Neurospora crassa OR74A: one gene and its partner. The protein of the gene in region 1 interacts with the protein of each later gene in a pairwise test. Links are inferred from orthologs where the notes say so. Each region holds a gene or a part of one and is shown on either strand. Other genes may lie near its edges.

Region 1 (10,241 bases):
TACCTACACTAGTAAACGACGCGTGACCACCCCCAGGCGACGTCATTGTCTTACACCCTCTCTTTTAGGCCCCTTGTACGTGGTACGACGACTACAGGTTTCTTCCTATTTATTCCCTTTTGCTCATCCATCGTTTTCTTTTATAAAAGAGACCCTTCTCGACCTTCAAAACCTTCCACTTCTACACCTTACCCATCTTCCTGCAAGACGATATCGAAAAAGTTGATCAAGACTCCTCTCAGTTGTCTCACTACGACCCACTCCTCACGAACCATCAAGACAAGTCATAACATCAAGACCATCACAATGGCCGGCGGCGACGATCTCAGCAAGAAGGAAGTCAACATTCTTCCCCACGACACCCAGAAGGACGAGCAAGTACGTTACCATTTCCTCCCTAGTCTGGTGCCTTGTGTGAATCACAGAAAACAGAAAACTGACTCTTTGGCCAAACAAATAGAAGAACCCCAACAACCCCCTCAACAAGCTCGCTGATAGTGCCAAGGCCACGTTCGAGCAGGCGTCAAAGGCCATGCCCGGTCCCGCCATCTCGCAGAACATCGGCGGCGAGGAGGGCACCAAGGAGGAGCGCAGGGCCAAGGCCGAGACGCTCAACAAGTAAAGATATGGACTCGGACAAACAGGGGAATGGATGGAATGATTGCAATGACTGAATGATACACACACATACACATAACATAATTGAACTGTTTTGACAATTACTCTGATGGATCAGTCCTGTTGGAGCCTAAAGTGACTTTGGTGGTGGAATTGCGCCCAAATGAGAGGGGTCTGGTCCTCGAAAGTTGTCTCAAATGGGAGCAATGTTAGCATGTGAAGGTAGGTAGGTACTTTCATGTCATCCCATGTTCGTACATACCTACACTACTTTCATCCTATATCAACCTGAGCCATATAACCTCCAAATGCACATGGAAGTTGTTGTCATTGCCAGTTTCAACATGTCCCTCAAACACCCAGCTCTCGGAGGAACCGTCTCGTTGGACATCCATCATCACGGCGGGCAAGCGAAAGGTCGGCTGTGCAAGCGGCGGGCGGGAATAGTGGAGGGGTTCAGTTGAGGGATAGGTACCCACTGTTAGTGGACACGGACAATTGACGCCCTATCCACCCCCGGCACAATGTCATGACGCTATCTGGTTCATGTCCACAAGTTGGTCGCTTCCCGTCGGAAATTGGTCATTGTGGCTTGCTGGGGTTTCGTTGCCATCCTGATTCCATTCAGTCAAAGCCAAACAGCCCGGTCGTTGCCGCCGCCGTAGTGATGCAACTCCCAATCCCCGTACATAGTGTAGTTAAGTAGTGTACACTCACTGCATGCCTAAGGAACCTCTTGCCAGGTACACCCGCAATTCAACTTCCTTCTTGTCTACCTTGCAATGGGACTTGCTCCTCTCTCTGTAGTCTGTACAGCTTTAATACATTGAATTTTCACGGCAGATTATAACTAAGCTTGCCAACTGAAGGCTGCTGGATCATTGTCCGAGGTACGTTATTCCCAGCCTGCCGCCGTCTCTTCTACTCAGTATCTGCTTTTGCTCCTTTCAGTCATTGGACATCCGGGCGGCCGAGTCTTCCTTATTCCTCCCACCAACCACCAAACATCCGTGCCTCCAATACCCAGACCTACCTCTAGCTAACCGGCAACTTCCATTGTCTCTTCTAGGCTTCCGTCAACTGCTTTTATTCCTACGCGGCAAGGCCACGGAAGCGCGGAGCTTTACTTTATCTTGTACCGACAAGATACTTGGCCGTCGATAACAAGCGCCAACGACCCGAAAAGCATTAATACGACATCCCACTTCCGACTTGCTACCTCACCCTTCGGTCGACGTTGCCCCCCTCCCCTCGCCGACCGACCCGCCGACCGGATCAAGGCACGACGACTCAGCTTCATAACAGTACCTCTCGGCGCTGCGCCCGCCGGCCGAGTCCTTCTACCGAATTTCCGCATAACGACTCCCAATCTATCCATGCTTTGCTCCCCCTGGACGATCTAAAGGGGACGACAGGCCGCAACCTACCTCAAGCCACTTCCACGCTTCCACCCCCCATATATATTCACGATGCCGTCCATCCTCAGCGACGACGACAAGGAAACGGTCAAGCGCTGCGTGCCCAAGCAGACCAACAAGATCCACGCCGTCGCCGTCGCCAGGCTCTATGTAGCCTACCCCAACCCGTCCAGATGGACCTATACCGGCCTCCAGGGTGCCGTCGTTCTGGCAAATGATCTCGTGGGCAACACATATTGGATCAAGATGGTTGATATCTCGGTAAGTGTGAAAATGACGATTGCGTGGCTGGCCACCATTTGGCTGACATCGGACAGCCCGGAAACAGGGGAGTGATATGGGACCAGGAGATCTTCGACACTTGGAACTACAACCAGGACCGTGTCTTCTTCCATACCTTCGAGCTTGAGGAATGCCTGGCTGGCTTGTCCTTCGTGGACGAGAAGGAAGCCAAGCAGTTCCTCAAGAAGATGAACGACAGGGAAAAGAACGCCAGCAAGGCTACCAGCAAGACACCTTTCGGAGGCGCATCCCAGGCACACCACCACAAGCACCACGGTCTTTTCGGCGGTCTGTTTGGAGGACATAAGCACGCGTCTCCGACAGCCACCCCGCCCGAGTCGCCACGTGCCGCTGCACCGGCAGGCCGTATGAGAGCTGGAAGCACTAATGGAATAAACGGATACAAGCCTCCTTCCGAGTTTGCGACCCTGGATGCTTTCGATCCCCTGTGGAGGGAACACTTCGGTGACGACCTCAAGGCCCAAGGCCTCGACGACGACTTCATCCGCGAAAACCAGGACTTTATCATTGAGTTCTTGAAACAGGAGCAAGCGAAGCAGGGTATACACACGAGCACTCCTCCGCCGCCGCCGCCGCCGCCATCCGCTCCTCCTAATGGTCCCGCAATGAGAGCTCCCCCACCACCTCCTCCTGCTGCTGCTCCGCGCAGTGTCTCCGAGTCGATAACTCCATCGACCTCTAGGAGAGGGCCAGTACCCCCGCCTCCCCCTCCAGCAAGGAGATCCGGCAAGCTCGACACGGAAAACCACCAGGAACCGGCCCCTCCGCCGAGATTTGCTGTTCCTCCTCCCATCGCCGATGCTGGCAAGTTTGCCCACTCTGATCCCCCGCGACATACGCCCTCTGCGCCTGGACCTCCACCACCTCCCCGGCCGCCGAAGACGCCACTCGAAGATCAGGACCCGAGCCAGAGGTTCAGCGTTCCTCCGCCATTCACAGGCCAACGAAGTGTACCCCCGCCGCCTCCCAGCCGTAGCTCTGTTCCTCCGCCACCGCCCCCGAGAAATTCAGCTGCGCAACCTCCTCTGCCTCCCAAGGCACCGGGACCAGCACCTCCCCTCCCGCCTGCGAGCTCACGGCCGCCCCCCATGTTGCCAACTAGAAGCCCGGCACCACCGCAGGCACCGCCTCTCCCGACCTCGAACGCGCCACCTCCGCCGCCTTTACCGGCCACCCAGGCGCCTCCACCACCTCCCCTTCCCGCAACCAGCGCGCCTCCTCCGCCACCACCGGCACCGCCAGCACCTCCGGCGCCCCCTCTACCCGCAGCACATGCTCCCCCGCCGCCGCCTCCCATGCCACCCATGCCCGCACCATCAGGCGGCGCACCGCCTCCGCCTCCGCCTCCTCCACCGGGTGGTATGGGTGGTGTCCCTCCCCCTCCTCCTCCCCCTCCTCCAGGTGGTATGCCTCCACCGCCCGCCCCTGCCTTGCCACCTGTTGACGGCAGTCGTTCGGCCGTGTTGGACGGCATCAAGACCGCGGGAGGTATCAGGGCGTTGAAGAAGGTAGACAGAAGCCAGATTCGCGATCGTTCCGGTGCTGCTGTTCCTGGTGGCTCCGATAGTGGGCCCGCAAGCAGTGGATTGCCGCCCGCTGGAGCTGCGCCGGGTGGCGGTGGTGGAATGGCGGATGCGTTGGCGTTGGCGTTGCAGAAGAGAAAGGAGAAGGTTAGCAAGAGTGGTAAGTATCTGGATTATCCCTGGCTTGTGAAGTGTGAGAGCATGTCGAGAATGATGCTAACACTGGTGGAAAAACAGATGATGAAGATGATGGTGATGATTGGGACTAAGTGCCCGATACCAACAATGACACGGTGAAGAGCCACCGGAAAACAACAAGGTTCCAAGTAGGAGAAGAGTGCAAAAGGAATGAAAAGCAAGACTGGAGAGACACCGATATCCAACCATCATCCATTCATCTGGTCGTTATTTGGCCATAGAGGAGATGATGACGGCGAGGATGGGCCGTTGCTGGAACAGGAGGAGGAAGAAGAAGAAGGAGAGGAAGGGGAAGAGGAAAGCTGAGGGGTGGAAGGAAGGAAGGAATGAAAGAAAGGATGCAGTGTCGTTGCATACTATATATATATATATAGCTTCACCGTATTTGGAAATATTCACACCTCGTCACTGGTGTTTAACAAGAAAACAAAAGAAATGCAAAATTATACTTTTTTTTTCCACTTTCAGAAATACTATACCAGCTTTTTATTCTCTGTTTCCCATCTTAACTTGATACTCTTCAAAGACAGCGGCGAGTGCCTGAAGAGGTTTCATTGATATATATGTATCTTGAAGATTACTTACTTACTTACCTACCTACCTAGGACTGTTTGACAGTGTTTTGTATTGGAAAAAAGGAAAATACTCGGTCGCGTGACTACAGTAGTTGCCGCTTTCAACAATTTCAATGTTCCTGAGTCCCGAGTTTCTTATGCTGCTGCTTTCCGAGAGCTACCTACGGACCAGTAATTACTTCGTCACTTGGGTTTGGTTTAGTCTCATAGAAACAATTTGAATAAGGGGGAGACGGACAGCTCCGAAACATCGTAGAAGAAGTGTTGGTCATATATCGAACAACTGGACCAGGATAAGCATAAATAGTGAAGAGTAGGACATCTCGGCGGTTCTCTTCTAGTGAGGTTGATGGAATGTTGTTACAAGCAAGACTTTTACTGGGCGGTGCGGGCGGGTCTTGCAAGGAGCAAGAAGAGGAACGAAAAATGATATATGTACATAGCCGGATGGGGACTTGAGCGAGGAGGGGATGAAGAGGTGCTGTTTAACACATGTTGCGTCTTGTCCTCGAGTAGAACAAGGACGTGCTTTGGCTCTTACAGGGTCACATTCCAGTGACCGACAGACACATCTCGCGTGAACCGAGAAGCCTAGTAATGTGTGATCGTACCAAAATACCATTTCCTAGCTCGAGAGAGGGAAAAAAAAAAAGAAAAAGAAACCAGACATGAGAGAGCCCCCTAAAAGAACATAAAAGACGTTTATGACAAAGCCATCCTATCATAAAAACAGCCTAACCCCTTTTAATATCCCAGAGTGCACGTAACCATCCTCTTTTCATTGCGGATGGATCGATGCTCTTTATGTCCTTCGCCCCCCCTTTTTTTAACTTTTTTACTCTGCCAGCCTTCCTCCTTCGTTCTGCCTGGTTGTAGGACCTCGAGTCCCGCAAACCAACTAACCGGACCCAGGTAAATGACGTCCCTCCCACCATTGTACCTGGCTCCGATTCTCCTCCTCCTGATTTTGTTCGTAAGATTTGTTTCTTGTCTTGTTACCGGAAAAACAAGGAAATAATAGGCACACCAAACTGTCGGGGAACCAAACTGGCTGCTGCTGTTAACGGTTATGGTTGATGGGTTGAAAAAAAAACGTGGGCTGGCTGCGTACGGCCGACACACACCGAAAACAGAGACCACCAGAATGGTTTGAGAGAGAAGACAGCTTTTTTGGACTTTCCTGGACGACCCCTTTACTTCCTGGCCAGACCCTTTGGGGATACCGACTTGGAGAGAAGGACGTAAAAGGGAGTGGATAGGAAGAAGGGGGAAGTTGGGAAAGGGTGGCGTTATTTCGCATGTTTCGGTAACAATTTGGTGTTTGTTGCCTCTTTTCCTCTTAGGTGCCGAGAAGAATGAGGCGACGATATGGTGTTGAGAAGGCAACGACACGTTTAGATGTCGTCGATATCAACGGCCTTGCCACCGGCCTCGGCGCCATCCTCCTCCTCGGAGTCACGGTCCTCGTCGAACTCGAAGCCGCAGTCGCCGTCCTCGTTGGGGCCGAAGGTGTCGGTCTCGTTGATCTTGGCGGTGTCGGGAAGCTCGCCGTAGGCCTTCCTGTTGATGGGCGAAGCAGGTGGTTAGTAGGGCTGTTGTTGACAGCACGGAGAGCGGAAGGGAAAAAAAAAAAAAAACGTACAGAGAACGGGCCTCGTCGGCAGAGTACTTGAGGATAACATCACCCTTCTCATCCTGGTACTCACGGAGGGAGACAAGGATGATGTCACCGTTGTTGATCCAGATCTTCTTGCGAAGCTTGCCGCGGATGAGACCGAGGCGCTTGACACCGTCGAAGCACTGAAAGCGGGGCAAAAGTTAGAATGTATGTTATGCTTGTAGGTAATCGAACGAGGGAGGGGTGGAAAGGACATACCATAGCCTCGAGTCTGCCGTTACCCAGCATCTTGATGACCTGAGCGTACTCTGCAGGGGAAGACATGTGTGAGCTTGTTGTTCGTTTGCTGTTGTTGTCGAGAGGCATGGGCGAGCGTCGATGTCGCAGGTTTTTGCTGTGTGCTGTGTGCGTTTCGCTTGCTCGCCACACCGGGGTGTTCACGTACCTTGACCCTCCTCCTTGAAGGTCAACTCGCGCTTCTCATTGCTGTTCAAAGTGGTTAGCTATATGATGAAGAAGCAAGGACTATGGTATGCGACTCTGTCGACGACGAGCTAGTATGCGCGCGCATCGCCATGGTGCTTGGTAGTGGCGGCGATGCGGGGCGGCGCGATGGGTCTTGGTCGTCGTCGGCGGGCGGGCAACACCAGGCAAAAAGAGCTGGGAAAGATAAAAAAAAAAATCCTTACTCGTTCTCGTTCTTTCCTCTTCTCCTGTTCTTACCACCCTTTCCCTTGTTCTTAGGCATGTTGGCTGTTGTTGTCGACGACTACGGGTGTCGGCTGGCCGGTGTAGGTGCGGTGTGTAAATTGGGTGTTGATGCGAGAAGAAAGACAAAAATCCAGCAACGGCTGCGTGGAGTGGATGACGGACTTGGTTGGGGGTCAAGAACTGTGCTGGAGCACTGGAGGAATGGCGGGTTCTGGGTACCCGTCTTTCACACGCCCGCCGTGAAACGAAAGCAAGGCGTTTTGGTATTGTCGATGTGGAGAATCTTTGATACGGACTTGGGAGAGAAATCATGGAAGGTGGGCTACTTGTAGGGCAAAATGGGCGAAAAGGGGTGGCTCGGACCTTGTGCTGACGAATCAAAAGGTCCAAAGCGCAGGCAAAATGGTGCAGTTGAGTCATGGCGGACTTGCGCAGTTCTTTCGGCTGTTGCATAATTATCACATAATACTGTGTATGCCCGTGGATGTGGGTGGCTGATTTTGGACCAAATTTGCTCAGTACGGTAAGGTAATACTGGTAAAATACTTGTGACAACGGCAACCGCACGTCTGATTCTCACCCACCACGGCTGTGTCTTCATCCACCGTCAACATGATGTTCGATTATTTGCCCATCAGCGCCAAACTTTCAAGTCACTACAGAGTTGCGCGCAGCCGACTGGCCATTTTCCATGTCCTTGCCTTCCATCCCAAAGCGTGCCACTTCAGCTGCTGGCCTTGTTGACTTGGCGTCGACTATCAAGACCAGATGGCGACCCTTACGCCCTCTGATGCTCAGAGGCTGTGATCAACGGCGAGGCAAGGGCATGAAGGCCAAGATCCCAGAAGATGCGGCGCAAGGATACGGCTACACTCAGCTGAATTGGAGTCCTTATAGTGAGCCGGTACTATCGAAAAGAGTCAAGGCCCTGTCCGACGCGCTAAATATTGGAACTTATTACGACGTCAAGGCAGTCAAAGGGCAGGATCTTGCCAATGCTCCGTTCATGGTCTCGACGGCCACGAAGCATTGCTATACGAGACAGTCGGTCATGAAGTACTTTGGTGTAGGAGAACATCCTTTGACAGACATGTTCCTCCACCATTACACCTCCAAGAAGCACCGACCATTATGGTTGTTTGTCTACAACGGTGACGCCGACCTTCGTCCCGTAGTGAAGACCGTGTGCGTGAACAGGTTGAGACAGGCTGTCCACAAGGCTCTCAAGGCGAATGGATATGGCCAGTGGGGGGATCGATTGCCGGGATTCGACGACACATCGGTGCTTCACGGCACCATTCATGTTCGCATCTCACACGGCAAGGAGTTCATCCAGATGAGCGACCACGAGATCCATGACGCGCTTGACAAACTGATGAAGAAGCATATCATCAAACAGCTCCAAGTCCCACAATGGCCGATACAGGCTCAGCCTAGGCGGGTTCGTGTTGGCGAACAGTCCCCTCAACACAAAGGATCTAGCGTGCCACCTCAAAACAGAGGATACAGCGATCAGCTGCAACAACGTGGCTCAGGGCAGCCGAGTGCTGGAAGTTACAGAAACACCAGAGAGACAGCACAGACCGACATGCGTGCTGGCAACCGGGTTTCGGAGCCAAGGGCGAGGGATGGGAGTATGAAAGGAGACGGATCCAGTTCCCGTGTACAACAGCTTGCCGAACGGTTCCGAACCCGTCAGCAAAATCCAGGATCGAAGTAGGACTTGGGGACAGATGAAAGGTGGGCGCTTGGTAGACTCTTAAGAGCAAACGCAAGTTGAGTGTCGACTTCGCCGAGGGGTCTCTTTGTAGCCAGCTGTCTACCTCTACAGCATATAGAGTAACAGTAAGAGGACGTCGGAAGGATGTAACGCACATTGGAAGCGATCAGTACTACTAAGATACCTACCTTTACTTGGGGAACCAAAGAAGCCGTTCACAACAACACCCAAACCTGATATTCGAACACCACCAAGAGCTTCAGAAGTGGAAAAGATACGTACCTTTTGGAGTGGAACCATTCAGGGGAAGCATCAAAGTCTTGGCGCCAAGCACAGGCTCCCGTCGAGGTGTGCGTTTCCGGCCAAGACTCCACATTTCCCGTCAACAAGGGAGCTGCTCCAGGGAGGTTCAGCAGCACTGGACAGCCCGTCGCTGGCAGTCAGGGAAGCTCCAATTGAGGTCCAGTTCAGGCAATGCCCTGAATGCCCTGCCCGTGAGATTTGGCGACAGCTTGCTTCCCGTCCCTTAGGTTGCTCCTTGGCTCGAGTACACTACCTTAGGTACCTCTACTGTATGAACAGCTCCAGTACAGTATCACAAACGGAAGACAGGAATCAACCAACCAAGCGGAAGTCAACCACTCGAGATTCCGCCAGGGCAGCAGCTATCATCTGCAGCTTTCCAAAGAGGCCACACAGCACTTGAAATCCCCGGTCGAAGCTGTAGCTACCTACCTAGTAGTCTACACATCTTCCCAAGCTTGACGACCTACTTACCTCTCTCTACCTACCAACAATCCGGCCACATCCCCATCGCGAGCCATCATGCTCGTCTCCCTGACCGTCGGCAAGGTCGACGCCGGCGTCACCGTCCTCCTAACTCCGGACAAGCGACTGGTATGTTTGGTTCCAGCAGTGACCCCCAGTCAAGGAACAAGACAAGTGTTAATCTCACCTTCTGATGCCAGATCGAGTTCCCCTCCATCCTCCTGCCCCCCGACATCTCCTCGGGCTCCATTGTCGACGTCACCGTTGCCCGCAACGTTGCCTCAGAAGACGAAGCCGAACGCGCCTTCCGCGCCCTCCAAGACAAGATCTTCAACGCCCTCGGTGCTGCCGAGCCCAAGGCTCCCAATCTGCGCTGTCGCAATGCCACCCAGACCAGCGTCGTCCTCGAGTGGGACCCCATCGATCTCGCAACCGCCGACCTGATCAGCCTGGCCCTCTATCGCAACGGCCAAAAGGCCGGCAACATTCCCAAACCCACCGCCATGCACTCGACCAAGATTTCGGGCTTGGCCGTCGACACCGAGTACACATTCCACCTGGTGCTGCGCACAACGGCCGGCACCCTGGCCAGCGACAAGGTCGTGGTCCGCACACACAAGATGACGGACCTCAGCGGCATCACCATCACCACGGGCATCCTCCCTCCCGCACTCAGGGAGTCTCTGGCCCGCTCGGTCGACCGGATTGGCGCCAAGCTGGTCGACACCGTTCGAATCGATACGACACACTTTGTCACCACCGAGGGCCGGGGCGTGCAATGGGAGAAGG
Region 2 (10,026 bases), on another chromosome or scaffold:
CCACCGGCTGTGGGCAGGGAGACCCCGCTGACGCAGTGCGTTTCCTCTTCAATTCGGTGGTCGCGGAGCTACAGATCAACTTCACCACCCTCCACTCCTCCACCATTTGCTATTCTCCTACCGGTCCGGATTCCGTATCACCCGTAGAGTACCTCTACATACACACGATTAAAGTCTCATTTTGTCTTCTTCGTGTCACATACAAACATACGAGGAATAGCAGTGCCTCAGATTCAGGTACCTGTGGTTCACACCCCCGGGACCCAGCCGCCTACGAACTCTGCGAAACGGCTGTCTTCTTCCCGCTCTTGCGCCAGCCTCTCTTTTACGACGGTTTTACCCACACTCACACACCACCTAACCCGTCAAAACGAGCGACCGCAAAAGCTATCTCCGACGTTTTTCAACTACGACGGATGCGAGCGGAGAGCCACTTACGTACGACCAACGACTCCATTGACCTCCTTGATCTCGATCCGCCCGTTCCGCCCGCTTCCTTCTCCCATTCAACTACAAACAAACGGAGAAGAAAAGAGGGACTGAGCCATCAAACCCAACTCGACCTTCACCATGGGGCCGGCTAGCGTTATCATCCTCTGCATCTTCCTCGCAGTGGTGGCTGCCGCCATCTTCTATGTCCTAATCTCGCGCGCCCAAGCAACACGTCTCGGGGTATGTTGTCCGTCGGGTTTCAACATCGCCTGCTCTTTCGAATCTGCGATGGCGAATTCCAATCTTTTCTATGAACGAATCATGATTGGCAACATAACTAACATCATGTTTCCAGCTCCCTCCACCACCCCTCACCTCATACATCCCTTTCTGGCCCGAGCCCTCAAACTCCCTTCCCTATGCCAACAACACCTCTTCTTCTTCCGGCGGTATTAAGGGCTGGTTCGGAAAGTTCAAGAAGAACAACAATCGCACTGCAGCTGGTGCCTACGAGCCTTCCGGTGCTAACGCTAACGCCGCCCGGAGCCGCGGCTTCGGACCCCTCGACCCAGATGAGGCATGGGATGCGCGTGTTGGACAAGAGGCTGATGGCTATGGACCTGCATACTATGAGGAGACGGAAATGCAGCCCTCTCGGCACAACAACCTTGGCGATGATACGAGCTACGGAGGAAGGAGCTACCAGATGAACCTGGCGACCAACCCCGGCAACAGTCAGCCTGGCACCGGCACTGGCACTAGCAACCCGTTCGCAGATCCCGAGGAAGAGAGAGGTAGAAGGAGAAGCCGTTCTCCTGGCCCGGCTGCGAACAAGGGCTTGAGTGTGTCTGCCCCCCAAAACCCGTTCGACGATGCTGCCGCGGATCACACCAACGTTAGCATGAGAGGCGTCAGCCCCCGTCCGATCGAGGGCACGGGAGCCTCAAAGCCGAGTGGTCACAACAATGGCGAGCCTGAGACCCCAGTGGAGAGGAGGTCTATCTTCAGAGAGGATGTATGAAGTGATGACCGAATGAATGATTGACACCGTGGGCAGCACAACGAAAGGGATAAGAAAAACAATTCTCGGCTTTCTGATCACGAAAAGCACGAGGTATGGTCTACTGGGGGTGTTATAGGCGCGGCTACATGATTCTGGCATGGACGTGTCTTTACGAGAAAGAGGTGTCCGTGTAACTATTAACGGATATCACTATGCTTTTACGCAAAGATGCGGCATGGGCAACATTTGGATTTGGGTGGTTCGTCATTTCTGGGAAAGGCGGCTAGTTGGGAGTTGGGGCACGGCTCTTTTTCTATCAGTGTTCGATTACTGCCGCAAGAGTTACTTGAAAATGAGAAAGGCCATACGAGAAGCAACCCACCAATCGTCAGTATTATTCAATGGGTTGAGAATGCCCAAGCACGTCAAACGCGGAAACCTGTGGCTGGTAAGGGAGGATCTTCATGACGACCGACCAAGTATTCACACAGACCGAACGACCACCTAACTTTCCAGCACGCCCACTTTTTCAAGAGTTAAGAGGGAATACATATGATGCATCCCGTATTCGATTGCGACGCCATAATATCCTTTCATTCCGGTCTTCCCTCGTGCGTTATCAGTCTTGCGGCCGTCCAATGTCTCCCTCGGGATACCGGATGGTGGGATGAAACCGGAAAGAGAACATGTTTTAAGACCCCACTTCCGCCGCATCCCGCCCCACCCTCGCCGAGCTGGCCGAGCCCCTGACGGGACGGACCATCACACCATGACATGGAAGCTTAGCTGTTTCTCCACCTCCCCCGCGCATGCCATCTTGTAGCTTATGTACCCCCGAGTTCTGAGAGCTTATAACCAACAAGGTTCTCCTTCTAATATACCAATTCCATTGACACTTGGTCAACTATAAAAACAAAGCTGTTCATCTATATATAAGCTCCTTCATACGACGCCGTTGTCATTTAGTATTGTCCTTCACTGCTATACTATATTTCGAATATCTAATAACAACGGCAACCACCATCACCATGCCCGACATCAACCTTCAAGAGATCCATGACACTCTCGTGGAGGTCGCCTTCGAGGCCGGCCGCATGATCCTCGCCGCCAACCCCAACAACATTGACAAGGGTTCGAAGATGAACTGTGTGTGCCTTTCCTTGTCCTCCGACTTCTTCCCCAGCAGTCACCTACTCATCCTCGGCAAGCAACCTCAACTACCTTGACTAACAACCCTTTTCCCTTGCTCAACAGCCGCCGACATTGTCACCGAAACCGACCAAGCCGTAGAGCGTATGGTCTCCACCACTCTCCGCTCCAAATACCCCTCCTTCTCATTCGTCGGCGAAGAGACCTACGTCGCCGGGGAAACCAAAGTCACCTCCGCCCCGACCTTCATCGTCGACCCCATTGACGGCACCACCAACTTCGTCCACGGCTACCCGCACGGCTTCTGCATCTCGCTCGGCTTCGCCCTCGACCGCCGCCCCGCGGTGGGCGTTGTCTACAACCCCGCTCTCGATACGCTTTGGACGGCCACCAAGGGACAGGGCGCCTACTGTCAGCGCAACGCCTCTCTCGAACCAGGAAAGGGACAGGGGCCAAAGCAAAAGTTGCCGCTGAATGGGGGCCAGCCGCTAGGAGACCTTTCCACGGCCCTGGTGGCGGTCGAGTGGGGTAGTCAGCGCGAGGGAAAGAACTTTGATATCAAGACCAGGGTGTTTAGACAGTTGACGGCTGCCAAGGAGAATGGCGGGTGTATGGTGCACAGCTTGCGCAGCTTGGGCAGCGCGGCCTTGAACATCTGCGCAGTGGCGGCTGGTCAGGTCGATATGTACTGGGAGGGCGGGTGTTATGCGTGGGATGTGACGGCGGGGTGGTGTATTCTCGAGGAGGCGGGTGGAATTATGGTTAGTGCAAACCCGGGGGATTGGAACCCGGAGTTGGATTCAAGGTTGTATTTGGCCGTCAGGGGAGCGGAGAGCGGACAGAAGGAGATTGTGGAGGAGTTTTGGGGGGTTGTTGGGGATGACAGGATGGAATATAAGCACTAATGGTTGGTGAACATGACGCGGTTTTGGGTACGGGCTTAGGTTATCAGGCATTGGGTCAAGTAATAAGCAGGCATATTGGATTTGGAAAGATGTCGACTAGATGAGTTAAGGCTATCGTTAGAAGGGTTGGATTGGGGTGCGATATCCGGGAAAGGGTCGTTCGCCCGTCAGCAATGTGAGTGACAGCTGCATCACGGTCCTATGGCCGATCAAGAAGAAAACTGAAGGTGATTTCGTTCCTTGATGTGTGAAGATGTGGCAAGGTACGTTGCAGAAAGGTTGATAAAGAAGGAAAAAAAAGAATTCGCATTTGATCCGACCCAGGCTCGATCTGGGGACCTTCAGTGTGTTAGACTGACGTGATAACCAACTACACCATCGGACCGTTGATGTGAATAAAGGTTTTCTGCGACTTTATGACTCATAAAGTTAGACATGTTTGATGCCATGGCCTGGAGTATTGCTATTCCTTTCAATGCTGGAAGGAATCGGCACCAACTGGTAGCTGAGCTGGTTGCTGTGGTTTACCTAGTGAGCATGTGCGCTTTATCTGTAACCTCTATAACCTGGACCACGCTGGTCGCTCACTGGGAAGAAACACAAACAGTTTGAATCCTCGAGTGCGTGGTTTCGAGTTTATAGCATGGACGTGAAGACGACGAACATCACATCATGCAGTTGACACAAGTTCAACGAGATGCCATTGTTTGGATGAAAAAGGGGCTCAGGGGCAGAGAGAAAGTGGAGACCCATGTACCTCGAAGCTACGGCAAGGCACAACAGCCATGTGCGCACATCGGGCCATCCCCCCGGTCCCGGTCATACTGCGAGGCATCATCCACCGACAACAAGAGACGGAGCTTGGACGTTGCAGCTGCCCTGGGATCCGCCTGACAACTTCCCACTGTAATCACACCGCGCTACGGGGCTGTACACTGGCAACAACCGACCCAACCTGACTTCCTCGAGATAACCTCAAACCCAATCGAACTTCATTTCCATTATCTAACATTGACCCGAGTATCAATCTCCACTTATTTCCGTGACCGTCTCGCTTAATCGAATCGTCAATTGCTCTCATCATTTCCAAGTCGGTCAATCAATCAGCGCTCCCGTCGACGACCGCATTACCACCGGACAGGAACCGGAAGCCGTTGCCCCCGGACTTAGGTTGCCGCTGCGATTCACGGCCCTTCAGCTTGAGAGGTAGCTGCTAGCCAAATTTCCAACCCACTTACACGCATATAATTACTACGAAGCCAACCGCGACAATGCCGCCAAAAATCGAAGCGCAGGAAATCGAGACGTACTGGAACATCTTCTCGGCGCGAACAAATGGCGGCAAGTTCCTGACGGGCGAGCAGGCGGCGCCGGTGCTGAAGAACAGTGGCCTGCGCGATGACCAGCTGGAGCGTGTTTGGGATCTGGCCGATGTGGACAATGACGGAAACCTTGATTTCGAGGAATTTTGTGTTGCGATGAGGGTCATCTTTGACCTTTTGAACGGGGTTCGTCTACCTCCTTCTGTCCTGAAGCTGCGAGCGAGCGAGCGAGCAAGCAAGCAAGCATGGGAGCAGTAATAGCAGCAGTATCAGAGAACTAACAGGGGGAGACGGTAACAGGAATACGCTGATGTCCCGACAACTCTCCCAGACTGGCTTGTCCCCGAATCTAAAGCCCACCTTGTGCAAGCGAACCGCGCGCTAACCGGCAAGGCGCCGAAATTCGAGCAAGTCGAAGATGAAGACGATACCCCCGGCTTGAAGGATGGGTTTGACTGGTACATGAGCCCGGCGGATAAGTCCAAGTACGAGCAAATCTATCAAGAGAACCGAGATATGCGCGGCGAGGTTTCCTGTATGTTTACATCCCTTCCTTTCCCTTCCCTTCCGGTCCCTAACCTCATACTAATCTACCTACCTACCCGCAGTCGCCGCCCTCCAAGACCTCTACGACTCCCTCTCCGTTCCCGACACCGACATCCGCTCGGCCTGGAACCTGGTCAACCCGTCGGCCTCCTCGACCATCAACAAAGATGCCTGCCTCGCCTTCCTGCACATCCTCAACTACCGCCACGAAGGTTTCCGCATCCCGCGCACCGTTCCCGCTTCTCTGCGGGCCTCGTTCGAGCGCAACAAGATCACATACAACGTCAACGACCCGTCGCAGTCGCGCTGGGCCCAAAAGGCCGACGATGAGACCTCTACCGGCCGCAAGGCCAAGTTCGGCGATCAGTACCTGACGCGCCTAGGCCGTTCCTCGTTCAAGACGGCCGGCACCGACTTCTCGTCCGAGCAGACGGACGATCAGTGGGAGGAAGTCAGGCTGAAGAAGCAGCTGGCGGAGCTGGACGAGAAGATGGCCAAGGTTGAGGAGGCGGCGAACCGTCGTAGGGGCGGGAAAAGGGATACAAAGCCGGCACTGGTCAAGAGGGAGCTGGAACAGCTGTTGGATTATAAGCGCAAGGAATTGAGGGACTTGGAGGAGGGTAAGGGGAAGGCGGCGGCTGGTGGGAGCCTGAAGAGCGTGGCGGATGATTTGGCGACGGTTAAGGAGCAGGTGGAAGGGCTGGAGGCGCATTTGAGGAGCAGGCAGGACGTGTTGGAGCAGTTGAAGAGGGAGATTGAGGAGGAGAAGGTTGGGAGGTAAGCTGTTGAGGGTCGGTACAGGGAGATGGGTTGAAGAGGTAGAGAGAGCGGGCTGTGATATTTTGCTGGGTTCCTCGAGGCGAAGACCATGGGCAGTTTGCCAGGACAGGAATGATTTGGGTTCATCGGTTACGTTTCATCTTTCTAAGACAGCATAATCTCTTAATGGCATTCAGTGGAGTAACAACAAGCTGCCTGATGGCGCATATCTTGACTGTGTAATTTTCCCAGGTGCTATGGTATATTACAATGAAAGGTATCATGTTGACTGTGCTTTTCAGGGGAATTTAAGCATCACAATCCACGCGCCTTTGCACTCAGCGCTTGTCTAAGCAACAACATGGTGGCTCTGCTTGTTGCCGCTAGAGGCTGTCGGGAAATGTGAAAGGAGTAGAATAGTTTGACCGTATAGATATCTTTTCGATTTCATCAGCGTGAAGAGGCATCGGAAATCCTAGTTTATGCCATTTCCAGTCTTATTCCACTGGTACCTTGATATACATGTCCTGCCAAATATGCAGGCACAAGCAATATGTTGCTTCGGAGTTGCTGTGGTTGGAACATCTCAAAAGGTACGAATGAATTGCATCTTCACATGGGCCCATCTGGATCATGTAATTACTGGTTTGAGCAGCTGAGTCCACGATAAATAAGCGTAAAGTGAGGCTGTCAGGTTGAAAATGAGTTGAAGAGGGTGTTGTGGATGCTATCGTAGGATCGATGAGTACACTAGTGGGGCAATGACGCTCATGGTCACATGGAAAAGCTTCCAGGGGAAAAAGACCCCTCTCCACCATTCGCTGTTGGACATTCCACAGCGAGTGTTTACCTAACTCCGCACTTTGGAGCCTGGAAGGTACCTACCCCGCCAATCCGGTTCCAGAGTTGCAATTCATCCCATCCTTGGATCCTCAACAAGTCGTGCTGTAGTCTAGGTACAAGGTGAAGGTACTTCGCATACTTAAAAGAACTGCCCTGCCTCAACCCTCAACCTTTTGAATTCTCGTCTCCTTTGCCTCCACATTTCCATCTTCTTCAAGTTCCATATATACCCATCGTACGTACGCGACGCGCAACTTGTATCTGTAACCACGTTCGAGTCTTTAGCTAACCCACAGATACCTCTACCACAGTAAACCAACTCACCCACCCCCAACAATCAAAATGTCTGCCGCTTTCGAGAAGGCCGTTGCCGATTCCAAGAAGCTTACTTCCAAGCCTTCCAACGAGGACCTTCTCGAGATCTATGGTGCGTCGCGTCACGTCCCACCCCACTCCCATATGTATGCTCTTTGCGCTGGCGGCGAACCACGAACCAGCCGAGGGCTATATTACCTACTAGTCTCTCGCGCGCGCAATCGAACAGAGCTGGAGCTCCAACAAAAACTCATGACTACGGGCAAGGCAGCAGTTAACTAACATTCTCTTCCAACCGTTCACAGCTCTCTACAAGGTCGCCACCGGCGCCGACTTCTCCAAGGCTGACAAGCCCGGCATGTTCGACCTGAAGGTTCGTTCCGTTCTGTCTTCCCGCTATTTATACCCCATTTCATCCCACCTCTATTCATCAGGCGTGCGCGCGTGCTCTGGTAGCTGTTGGTCAAATCACGAAACCTCCATTCATCCATGGCCCCTCCATAGCTGTCCCCTTCCTCCGCCCAGACACAGTAGCTAACACATTACCTCTTTTTCTTTACCAATAACAGGGCAAGGCCAAGTACAACGCCTGGCAGAAGGTTGTCGACGATGGCCTCTCGGCCGAGGAGGCCCAGACCAAGTACGTCGCCAAGGTCGAGGAGATGAAGACCCAGTACGGCTACGATGAGAACAAGGCCCCCGAGGCTGTTGGCTCCAACTAAGGAGTTTAGATACCCCGTTGAGCTTATAATATAATGCCCTTTACAAAGACCGAAGAGTGTTCGAGGCCATGTTTGCACGCGGTCTATCTGTATGTGGAGTCTAGTCGGTGATGGGAAGTGGTGAAGGCTCTTGTGGTATGATGGAAGCCGTAGTTGCACAATCACAAGAGACGGATGTCGTGTCGATCTTTGTCTGGACCAAAACACTCAGGAAGATGCTGCTGAGGTCTTGACAACAATGGAAATATCAAGTATCGAGGTACGCAGTTCAAGCCACCTATGTCGTGTATATGTCCAGATCTGCAAACGAGAAATATCCCCGTTTCCTGCGGGTTCAGTTACACTACATTAGAAACGTCTGTAATATCCCGTCTATACAAGACATGACATGATGTGACCGCTTGAGCCGCGTGTGGAATCACATCCACACGAGAGGAAAGCGGAAGGGGTATCAATTACCAAACAGGAAGGCTGTGCCGTCCTATACTGACCACATACTTGTAGGCTCATCAAGAAGTTCATTTCAGGGGCAGATTAACCACCCACATCAATGGACTGATCAGCTGCGTACCATTTCCGCAACTCATCCATGCCGCCAAACCTGCCCCATCCAGTCTGGCTCCAAGTGGTTCGCCGTGGCAACCCAAGGCACTTCTTGCAGCCCGTACCTCTGCAACGGGAGGTTATATGGCATCCGCAATCCTACCACCACCGTCGAAGACTTTTCCTCCTTCTCATCATCTCCCTTACCATCCTTCTCGCCGTTCCTGCTAGTTGACGTAGGACCCTGCTTCTCCCCCAATGAAGACGGTCTATCTTTTTCACTGCCATGAATCGCAGGGGTATCTTTGAGAAAAGTAGGTACCATAACCGCCTTCTGTCCCATTTTGCTGCCACTACTAGTACCATCACTATCCGCAAACAACTCCGGCCACACCAACACGCCAATCTCGTAAGAACAGATATGCACCTGCGGCTCTCCCGCATTGTTCTTGCTCTGCGCGTCGCCCCACGCTTGTTTAGAGAGGTTTGCTGACGTAAGGAGGGCCCAATCAATAGTGTTTTTAGTCTTGTGGTTAGCGAAGCGGATAAAGGTTTTGATGTGGGGGGCGGCGCGGTTGCGGCCTGCTTCGCGGATGGGGGTTGTAGTAGTCGTACCAACTCCATCGGCCGAGTCGTTCGCCCAGTGACAGAACATGGGTCTCAGATATTGGAGCTGCTTGGCTTGTTGAGCTGACTGGATCTTGGTATGGATGGAACCACCGGATGCGTAACCGTCGAGTGACTTCCTGATCTCGTCCGGCGTGGGGAAGATGATCTTGAAGTCTGGCTTGGGCTTCGACGACAATAGGGTTTTGGGGCCTTGGGAACCGCTGAGCGCTTCAAAAAGGGTGTTTTTGAGCCAGTTGTCTGTTGGACCCAGAGTGGCGATGGAGGATATCTGGATTACAACCTCGGGCTTTTCACTGTCATCAACATCACCACCACCTTGAACTCGATCTCCCGCCTGGCGAACGGGAACCGACTTGAGAGTCTCCTTCATTGCGGCCCAGCCCCATCGGGTGGGAAAATCGTCAACGAGGGAGTGCCGTCCTGGGACGCTGGCGATCAGTGAGCCGCGGATTGATGAGAAGTCATACTTGGCGAGTTGGTCAATGAGAGGGTTACAGGCAGCCCGATATGAGCGTAGATAATTCAGAAAGTCTATCTTGAACTTCTCACCGCAGCCGGCCGGTGGTGGGGACCGAGTAGAGGAAGTATTTTGCTGGGCGTCTGGCTTCAAAAGGGGAAGTCGAGGAGATATCCAGGCGGCTTGTGTCATATTACTCCAGTCTCTCGGAATCAGATTTGCCGTGTGGATGATAATCTCCGCCGTATCATCGGCTCGCAGGAGCACCATCATTTTGCTGTGATGGGTTCCAAACGGCTCGGGGAGATAGGCATGATGTGTGGTGATGTTGGGATAGCGAGCGGCGTCAGACTAGTGGGTCGGTCAGGACTGAACGCACAACGGGATGGTGAGTAGCTGT

Evidence for each region.
Region 2: the proteins of NCU07438 (region 1) and NCU06347 interact in binary tests that used the Saccharomyces cerevisiae proteins (3 or more experiments, as listed by UniProt). The link is inferred for Neurospora crassa OR74A from reciprocal best matches to the Saccharomyces cerevisiae genes LAS17 and END3.

What each region holds. Positions count from the first base shown.
Region 1 is NC_026501.1:625,066-635,306, forward strand, and holds NCU07438 (WASP-like protein las17p), read left to right. Parts: upstream 1-1,286; 5' UTR 1,287-1,508; intron 1,509-1,687; 5' UTR 1,688-2,087; coding exon 2,088-2,297; intron 2,298-2,353; coding exon 2,354-4,022; intron 4,023-4,099; coding exon 4,100-4,131; 3' UTR 4,132-4,522; downstream 4,523-10,241. Other genes in the region: NCU07439 (hypothetical protein), read left to right, coding at 307-378, 461-622; NCU07437 (eukaryotic translation initiation factor 1A), read right to left, coding at 6,030-6,195, 6,278-6,435, 6,512-6,561, 6,699-6,739, 6,943-7,001; NCU07436 (hypothetical protein), read left to right, coding at 7,656-8,684; NCU07435 (chitin biosynthesis protein CHS5), read left to right, coding at 9,510-9,581, 9,653-10,241.
Region 2 is NC_026504.1:2,820,415-2,830,440, forward strand, and holds NCU06347 (actin cytoskeleton-regulatory complex protein end-3), read left to right. Parts: upstream 1-4,349; 5' UTR 4,350-4,760; coding exon 4,761-4,997; intron 4,998-5,111; coding exon 5,112-5,346; intron 5,347-5,419; coding exon 5,420-6,138; 3' UTR 6,139-6,351; downstream 6,352-10,026. Other genes in the region: NCU06349 (hypothetical protein), read left to right, coding at 571-672, 788-1,453; NCU06348 (myo-inositol-1-monophosphatase), read left to right, coding at 2,464-2,581, 2,690-3,489; NCU06346 (hypothetical protein), read left to right, coding at 7,302-7,386, 7,580-7,647, 7,844-7,996; NCU06345 (tyrosyl-DNA phosphodiesterase), read right to left, coding at 8,580-9,977. UniProt on the Saccharomyces cerevisiae protein: Component of the PAN1 actin cytoskeleton-regulatory complex required for the internalization of endosomes during actin-coupled endocytosis. The complex links the site of endocytosis to the cell membrane-associated actin cytoskeleton.